Linked DNA regions of Drosophila melanogaster. The protein of the gene in region 2 interacts with the protein of the main gene of each other region in a pairwise test. Each region holds a gene or a part of one and is shown on either strand. Other genes may lie near its edges. The genes, in order: DIP1 and Zcchc7.

Region 1 (3,926 bases), on a different chromosome or scaffold from region 2:
TAATGATATTATAAAAAAAATGGACCAATAAAACTATAAAACATAGGAATTTTTTATCTTAAACTCGCAACACAACTGTAAGTAATTTCCGGTCTGCCCTTCCATAAGAAACCTAGTGCTTTGTGTGAGCGTGTGAAAATTCTGGGAAATCTGATCACCAAAGGTTTCCTCGCTTACCAGACGACTTCTTGCGCTTTTGGAAGATTTTTTTAAATGGGATCTTGCCCCCGATGCCGCTGGCACTGGTACTGGCACTGGTATTGTCCTCTATATTGTCGACGGACGGTTCATCGTTGACAGAGATCGGCTCCTCCTTGATGATAACTGGCATGGGCAGTTTGGAGGCAATGGCGTCCGCATCCGGATTATTCTGCTGGTCGGACGAGTTGGCCAGTTGAACGGGGGCAGGAGCCCCTGGCGACTGAACAGCCAAAAATGCGTCCTGTGGCGATTGAACAGCCACCGGGGAGGCCGATGTCGGATATAAAGCCACCGGAGAAGACTGCTGCTCCTGGACATTGGCGGCCTGCAACGGCATTTGGATCAAAGGCTTGACGGTGGCATTGGGATTCTGCGTTTGCGAAAGAGTTTCATTAGTCGATTAGTTAGCGAAGGCAACGGGTTCCGCCTGGCTCGCCAGGCTACCCTAGACAAAATCACTTGCAGCGGACTGGTCCAGTGGGTCGACAAAAAAGCGACTCGCTGGCCAACGGAAACCATCAAGTCGTCAAGTTACCCGGAACCGTCAGGGTGGTCGGCTGGTCTACTTAAAACCATAGTTCCGGAACTAGCCATGGCCATTCCTGCGACCCAAGTGCCCCGAAACGAAGCTCTGCACCAACGGAGCCAACTGCCCAGCGACTGTGGATCTCCGTTTATCGGATCCAGCCGAGGACTCCGGGACCAGGTAGTCTATGCTAATCTATGAAAATCAGGTGTACTGCACTATTAGGGTAACCAATGTCTCTTTAATTCAATGGGCATAAAAACCGCAAAGTCCGGTTAACAAATAAATTCAGTCTCATGGTGAGTTAACTTTTCGCTAATGTATTCTGTTTGCAGAGAGGTTCGAGAAAATCTAATTCTAATTCTAATAGAATTTTCTCCGATATGCAAAAATAGAGTAAAATAATTGACTATCGACCTATACGTTTCACAATTCTGTCTATTTTAGCATGAAACAATAGTTATGGGGATCCTTCGGTCATCGGCTGAGTTCATGGTCGCCGGCTCGTTTCGGGCACTTTCGGTGGAGTGAATGGGCATTGCTATCTGACCCAAAACTAATAATTTTAGTTACAGTTTCGGGTGAATGCATTTTCAGTAGCCATAAAAGTTAGCGATAACCGCAAGTCCAGCGTGAAACTATAGCAGTGCTGGCCATATCTAGTTGATCGAAAGCACGAACGGAGTGGAATGAGTGCAATGCAAATGGGTGGGTTACGAATGTAAGGGGAGAGGGGAAGGTGGTGGATGTCTGGGGGGTGCATTGTGAATGCTGGTGGAATTCGGACAACGGTCTGCACTTTCGATTAACCCGCTTTTAGTGGCTATTGCAAATGAGTTCACAATTGTGGTGAATTGTGAATGAACACTTTCACTTTGTGCGCTGCAAATTATAGAAATAAAAACGAAAACTTTGTTATTTCACAAATCAAATATGGATGATTCCAACAATGGTTTTTGTTTTCGTGATGCATTTTCACTCGGAATACATATCTTCGTGACGTCACAGGGAATTCTTAACTCACACTCCTGCACACACTTGCAAAAAAAATTAAGATTCTTACGTAAATGCCTCCAAAGACAAATGGCTTGTTGTTTCCAGCAAATGCACGACGATTTCGCTTCATCTTGATTTTTTTTGTAATTTAATTTTTCACTTTTGTAATTCGCTTTTTCGCTTTTGTAATTTAATTTTTCACTGCTCAGGTCACAGAAAGAATCGTACTGCACTGAAGTAAAAAACTTAAGTAGGGATGTCAAAATATATGTAAATATATCGATATTTTTCACATATTTCGAAAATCGTTTTTAGTATTAAATATATTATAGACATTTCACACTGGCCATAGTAATATAAGCAAAGTGATGGAAAGACGGCGGAAAAAAAAGAGCAGACCAAAGATTTTATTGTGAAATAATTAAAAGCATGCTAAAAATAGCACGACGATGCTCTTTGGAAGTGCTTAAAAGTTATTGCGAAAATTTAGAATTGAAACAGTACTTCTGTATATCGCGAGAATATTATAGCTGTTAAATTGTGTGCATGGTAATTCCCTACATTTTTGTTTGACTGACTGACATTCAAATGTATTAAGAAAATAGTATAGAACTCGAACCATAAGCGCATGACTTTTCATGACTTGCAAACACAATTTGCCTGTCTGCAGCGTGGGCAAAATCTATAACGTCAACAAAAAACAGGAAATGTTTTCACACTGTGTTAACAAAAGTTTTGCGTTTCCTCAACTACAGCAATAGGAAAGTATGCGACTTTGTAAAAATGAACACCAAATCAACTGAATTAACTATCTACATTGGGATTAATAGGTGTGTTTTTCATATTATGCATATATTAAAAAAATACTAATGCTCAAAGTAAGGTAAGATACCTGTTACTTAGATAGTGGGAGTGCGACGGAAAATTTTCGACATTATTTTTGCATATCTATAGAAAGTTGCAAGACAAAAATTTTATTTAAAAAAATGAATATTTTTCAAAAGTGTGGGAATGACAGTTTTGGATAAACGAAAAATAGAATAGGTGTTCACACTGTGTTCACAAGAGTTTTGCGTTTCCTCAACCACATCAATAGGAATGCAAGCGAACTTATGAAAATTAACTATCTGTGTTGGGATTAATAGGTCAGTTTATCATATTTTGCAAATATATTTGCTATATATTTATATATTAATCGAGGTTTTTATTCTTTTACGAATATTTAAGCAGTGTCAAACTGCGCTGCATAGGCATACAGGCATAGTCCCTTAAGGTTCGCGAGGTTTCAAAGGTCACTGATTGGGCAGACGGAAAAAAGAATATGGGACAGCTCGACTCGTCTTGTGATCCTGGACTTACAGGGAACTCAATACACACATATACCAACCCACTTGCAGAAAATCAAAATCAAAATCAGAGTACGACTTACCGCGTATTTTGTAACTTTTATATTGTAATTGTAATTTAATGTTTCGCTGCTTAAGTCACAAAACTATTGACGAAAACAAATCAGGATCAAATAAAAACCACAAGGTAACCATATTTCTATGTTTAAATTGGAATATCTGAAATAAAGTGGTCCAATATTTTTAACTGAGGTCCACCCAAATAAAACGCCAAATAAAATACCTAATACTGTCGCAAAAGTTTTCTTCACTGCGGTACAAGAGCATGACCGAAATCAATATACGGTGTCCACGAATAGGAAAATCGTACACTGACAATAATCTAGTGTCAAATTTGTATAGCACCTATTAAAACAACGTTCTCAACGAGAAAACTTAAAGATAACATCTTAAATATAATTGTTTAGTCGCGTTTCCACATATGCACATACGCACATGTGCCAGTTTGAATTTGAAAATGAAATATGTAGAAACCAATTTTTAAACAAAAAGACATGAAAATACATGAATTTTGTTTTGTGTATATCAGAAGACTTGATTTGTGGGTTCCTTTCGTGAGTCTTCTTTTGATTTCTCTCAGTTGCTTTATGACGCCGGGCGCGTGCGCATTTAAAACAATTCTCGAAAGAAATGTTCACAAATTAGTTTAAATTCGAAAACGTTTCGGTATGGACGCAAGAAAAAGGAATTCTAAGAAATAGAAATTCTAAGCGAAACAACAACGAAAAAGGAAAATAATTTAAATAGGGATAATAATATACAAAAACATAACAACAAAAACACAACGGTATTAAGGA
Region 2 (3,926 bases):
GTGGCTTATTCTGCTTCTTGGGCGGGCAGTTCGGTGGGATGGCGACTAGAAGTCTCTGGTCAAAACGCTCCGCCTCGTAGGCTTCGTGATTCACTTTGGTGGATGCGTTTGGCTGCGGTTTTGGTTTTTGTACTACTGGCGCCGACTTCTTTTGCTGATTTTGGTGCTGCTTGGATTGTTGATTTTGTTGCTTAAGACTCTGCTGCTGTTTCTGTTGTGAATTTTTTTGCTCCTGAGGCTTTGCCTGTTGATTTTGCAATTGTTTTGCATGAATATTTTGCTGTTGCTTGGCCTGTGGGATTTGCTGATGTTTCGGGGGCTGGCTAGCAGTTTTCGGTTGATTGGACGTTCCCTTTTCGGGCGACAGCAATAGACTCTTGTCTTGCGGCATATCGACATCCATCGATTGTGATGAGGAACTTTCTTCAACAGCTAAGAGACAAGAACCATAAATTAAAATGTGATTCTTATATTTATTTGTATAGGCGATATGAATAAATGTGAATAGCAAATTAGCAGAAATTCTTAAGAATAAACCAAATCTTTTGATACAACCCAACATTTTCATTGACAAATTAAAAATGCAGTTTCTGAACTATAGCACCAATTTTAATACCAAAGTGGGTTAAGCATTTGACTAAGACGGGAATTGGACATGTCTTCCCCCTCGACGTCGTTCAGCCTGTAGCCTTGAAGTGTCAGATCCGACAACTGCGATTCGCTTATGTGGAAGAGGACAAACGCCTCTGCCAGCACATCGGATCGATTGGGCCACAGTAGGACTCGCACCGCTGTGCGAAACTCATCGATTGCCTCCTTGATCAGCTGCTGCGCCTCGAACAGATTGGCGAGTGGCGTCATCATTCTTTCGCCCAACTCAGACTGCTTAGCCTGCACTTTGAGAGCCTGCTCTAGTTGCCTGACCAGCCGCATGAAGACGAATCTGCGGTAACGATCTTCAAAATACTGTCGCGGCATATCAAACCGACTCATTTTCCGCTGAACCAAGGCAGAGAAGATAAAGCCATCCACACACGAGCCCAGCACACTAACGCTGGCCATCAATACGACTGCAGATAGCATGTACTCCACTAGTCGTTGGTCCAGTTCCTCGCACCAAAAAAACAGATCTCGGCCATGCCGCGCCAGTTGGTAATGGAGCAGGCAAACAATGCAGACAAGGTCGAGAGTGGCCAGGGCCAAGGTGCAATGGTTGAAATGGCCCATCCGCCTTTCGAGCACCTGCAGACCGCACCTGCCCAGGCCCAGAAAGCGACTGAGGAAGCAGGTCATCATTGGAAGGTTATGGAGAATTTTGAAAGCACGCCAACGAAATAGTTTTGAAAAGGATGAAAGCAGCCTAATGCCCAAAAGCTGGGCTGATCCCCACTGATGGAAGTAGGAAATGTTCTTGACTACTATGAAATGGGGCGGAACTAAAAGACTACAAATGAACTAGCTAAGAATACCTAAGATTATGAATCACGTTTAATTTTTTTTGTTTTGAGTTTTAAACAGTTATAGCTACAAATCGACCGATTAAATATGATTATATTTACTATGATTTAAATTACCTAATAACTTGTGAGATATTGGATCTTATTGGATCCTACCTTTTTTGGGTACATTTTTGGGTATATTTTTATGCTAGCTTATGGTTTTTATTACTTCATATATACCATTTGCCAATGGTTGCCACTCACCTGGCATTGTTTTGTTTGTGGTGGCCTGCTGTTCCTCCGCCTGCACCACCTGCCCCTCCCCCACAGCTGCCGCACCATCGATCCAGTAGCGTGGTTTCTGCATGCTGTTGTTGATCACTCGTGTTCCGCTGACGAAACGCTGTCCGGGAATGGGATGCTTCTGCTGAGGAGGCGGTGGCATGCTCCTGGCATCCTGGTCGCTGGTTGACTCCTTCGCAGGCTGATCCATGGCAGTGTGCTCTTCGAATCCATCGCTGTAGTGGATCGAGGCATATAGAATTGATTCTAGCTCGTTCAGCCGTTCGCTGTCCATCTCCTCAAGCTGCGGATTGGAATGCATTAGATCGGTAGGAATAACGGGTATTTGGGCCAACACTCACATCACTCATATTGCGCGTCTTTGTTTTCCTTTGCCTTTGATTTATTTTTCCTGCGCATTGATAAAAAGTAATATAATGAAAGAGAGCACGTTGATGGCAGTGGTGGGCAAGCTGGAGAGAGCATGTCAATCGAGGCAGTGATGACACTCTGGCTATCGGAAAATGTTGCTATCGAATAGTAAACTAAAAAATCTGACAACAGTACTTCTACTAGCTGGCAAAAAATAAATAATTTACATCAACGAACGGTTCGAATTTGGTTTAAGTTTTAAAATTAACACTTAATTATTCACTATGGCATTATAAATAAAAATGAATAATTTTCCACTCCGAGTTTTTTATCTCTCAAAATGTTAAATTAAAATTTAAAATTTACAAAAAACCAAAAAAAAAACCAAAAAAACCAAAAAAAACCAAAAAAAAATTTACAAAAAAAAAAAATTTATGATACTTCTCGTTTCGATACGTGTAAACTGGCAGTCAATTGTGGGTGCCTCCGATAACGATAACAAGAGGAGCAACCCTAGCTGCCGGGCCACGTACAATTCGCGTCGAAAAATAACAAGAAGTAATTAAAGCTAAAATTCAATGTAAGAGTGCCGCAAGTGTGTTAAACTAATAGCTTAACCGGATCATCTTATTTCTAGTATGGACGTAATGCAGCGCTACGTATCGCCCGTGAACCCGGCCGTTTTTCCCCACCTCGCCACCGTGCTTTTGGTCATCGGAACCTTCTTCACCGCCTGGTTCTTCATCTTTGTGGTGTCTCGAAAGAGCTCTAAGGAAAGCACCTTGATAAAGGAACTGCTGATTAGCCTGTGCGCCTCCATTTTCCTGGGATTCGGCATTGTTTTCCTGCTTCTAACCGTCGGTATTTACGTATGAGATAAGACACCATTCCGCATAGAAATAAACTGAAGATCTGATCGTGGGCGTTAACATACATGAGGCCTTTGTTTTATTTAGGATTATTGTTATTATAATTTCAATTTTTAAGATTCAATTTGCGCTTAAAACTTATCGAATATTTTTGATGGTAACATATAAATCGTCTGCACGTGCTCGCACTACCCCGTCGAATAAGAAATCACGGCAACTGTTGAAATCATGGCTCTTCTAGCCCGCTAGACCGGCCTTTTGTCTGCACTTCTGCATGGTGGCCCGTAGGATGAATTGTTTGCGGGATAGCTGTCGCACGTGCTTAAGAAAGGTCTCCAGATCGATGACACCTCCGCGGAGACCCTCGCCCAAGTAATATATGGCATCCTCGGTGGCCGCTTCGTCGGCATAGGCATTGAGTAACCTGCGGGTGGATAAACCATTAATTATCTAGCATGAATCTTGGAATGCGCACGCAGACATTCAACTTACTGTCGGTAAAGTGGCGCTGTGGTGGTCACCGCCTCGTCGGGGTTAATGGCCTCGGCGCTCTCAAGATCTTCAAGAGCTTTTTCCAGCTCCTGCTCCTTGTCCTTTAATATACTTATGTTCTTTTGCATATCAATATGTTCGCGCTCGAGGCGCTCTATAATGGCATCGATCTTGGCACTGCCCTCGAGCAACTCCTGCTTGGTGCGATTGAGAGTTTCGATCTCGGCCTGATACTGATTAACTTTCTCCTGAACTCGGCGGCGCAGCTTGTCGTCGATAGCGCTAATGATTGATGCTTTGATGTGCTCCTCGGTAATAGTTCCCGTGGAACTGGGATTTGAGGGATTCTGAAAAGAATAAGCTTTAAACATTAAGAAGTCGATTTTTGGATAATAATCTAAAACTTACATATCCCGCAGCTGGTGGGTACCCACCGGCGGTTGGTTGTATGAAATTCGGGTAGGCCGGATAT

Evidence for each region.
Region 1: the proteins of Zcchc7 (region 2) and DIP1 interact in a two-hybrid assay, tested with the Drosophila melanogaster proteins (one large-scale study listed by BioGRID).

What each region holds. Positions count from the first base shown.
Region 1 is NC_004354.4:21,628,184-21,632,109, forward strand, and holds the start of DIP1 (DISCO interacting protein 1), read right to left. Parts: upstream 1,966-3,926; 5' UTR 1,854-1,965; coding exon 1,791-1,853; exon of another isoform or gene 721-1,790; coding exon of another isoform or gene 661-720; exon of another isoform or gene 572-660; coding exon 178-571; intron 1-177.
Region 2 is NT_037436.4:16,843,667-16,847,592, reverse strand, and holds the start of Zcchc7 (zinc finger CCHC-type containing 7), read right to left. Parts: upstream 2,208-3,926; 5' UTR 2,093-2,207; coding exon 2,084-2,092; intron 2,026-2,083; coding exon 1,704-2,025; intron 1,367-1,703; exon of another isoform or gene 1,297-1,366; coding exon of another isoform or gene 610-1,296; exon of another isoform or gene 593-609; intron 433-592; coding exon 1-432. Other genes in the region: CG32161 (uncharacterized protein), read right to left, coding at 610-1,296; kud (kuduk), read left to right, coding at 2,732-2,968; TSG101 (tumor susceptibility gene 101), read right to left, coding at 3,200-3,386, 3,455-3,801, 3,863-3,926.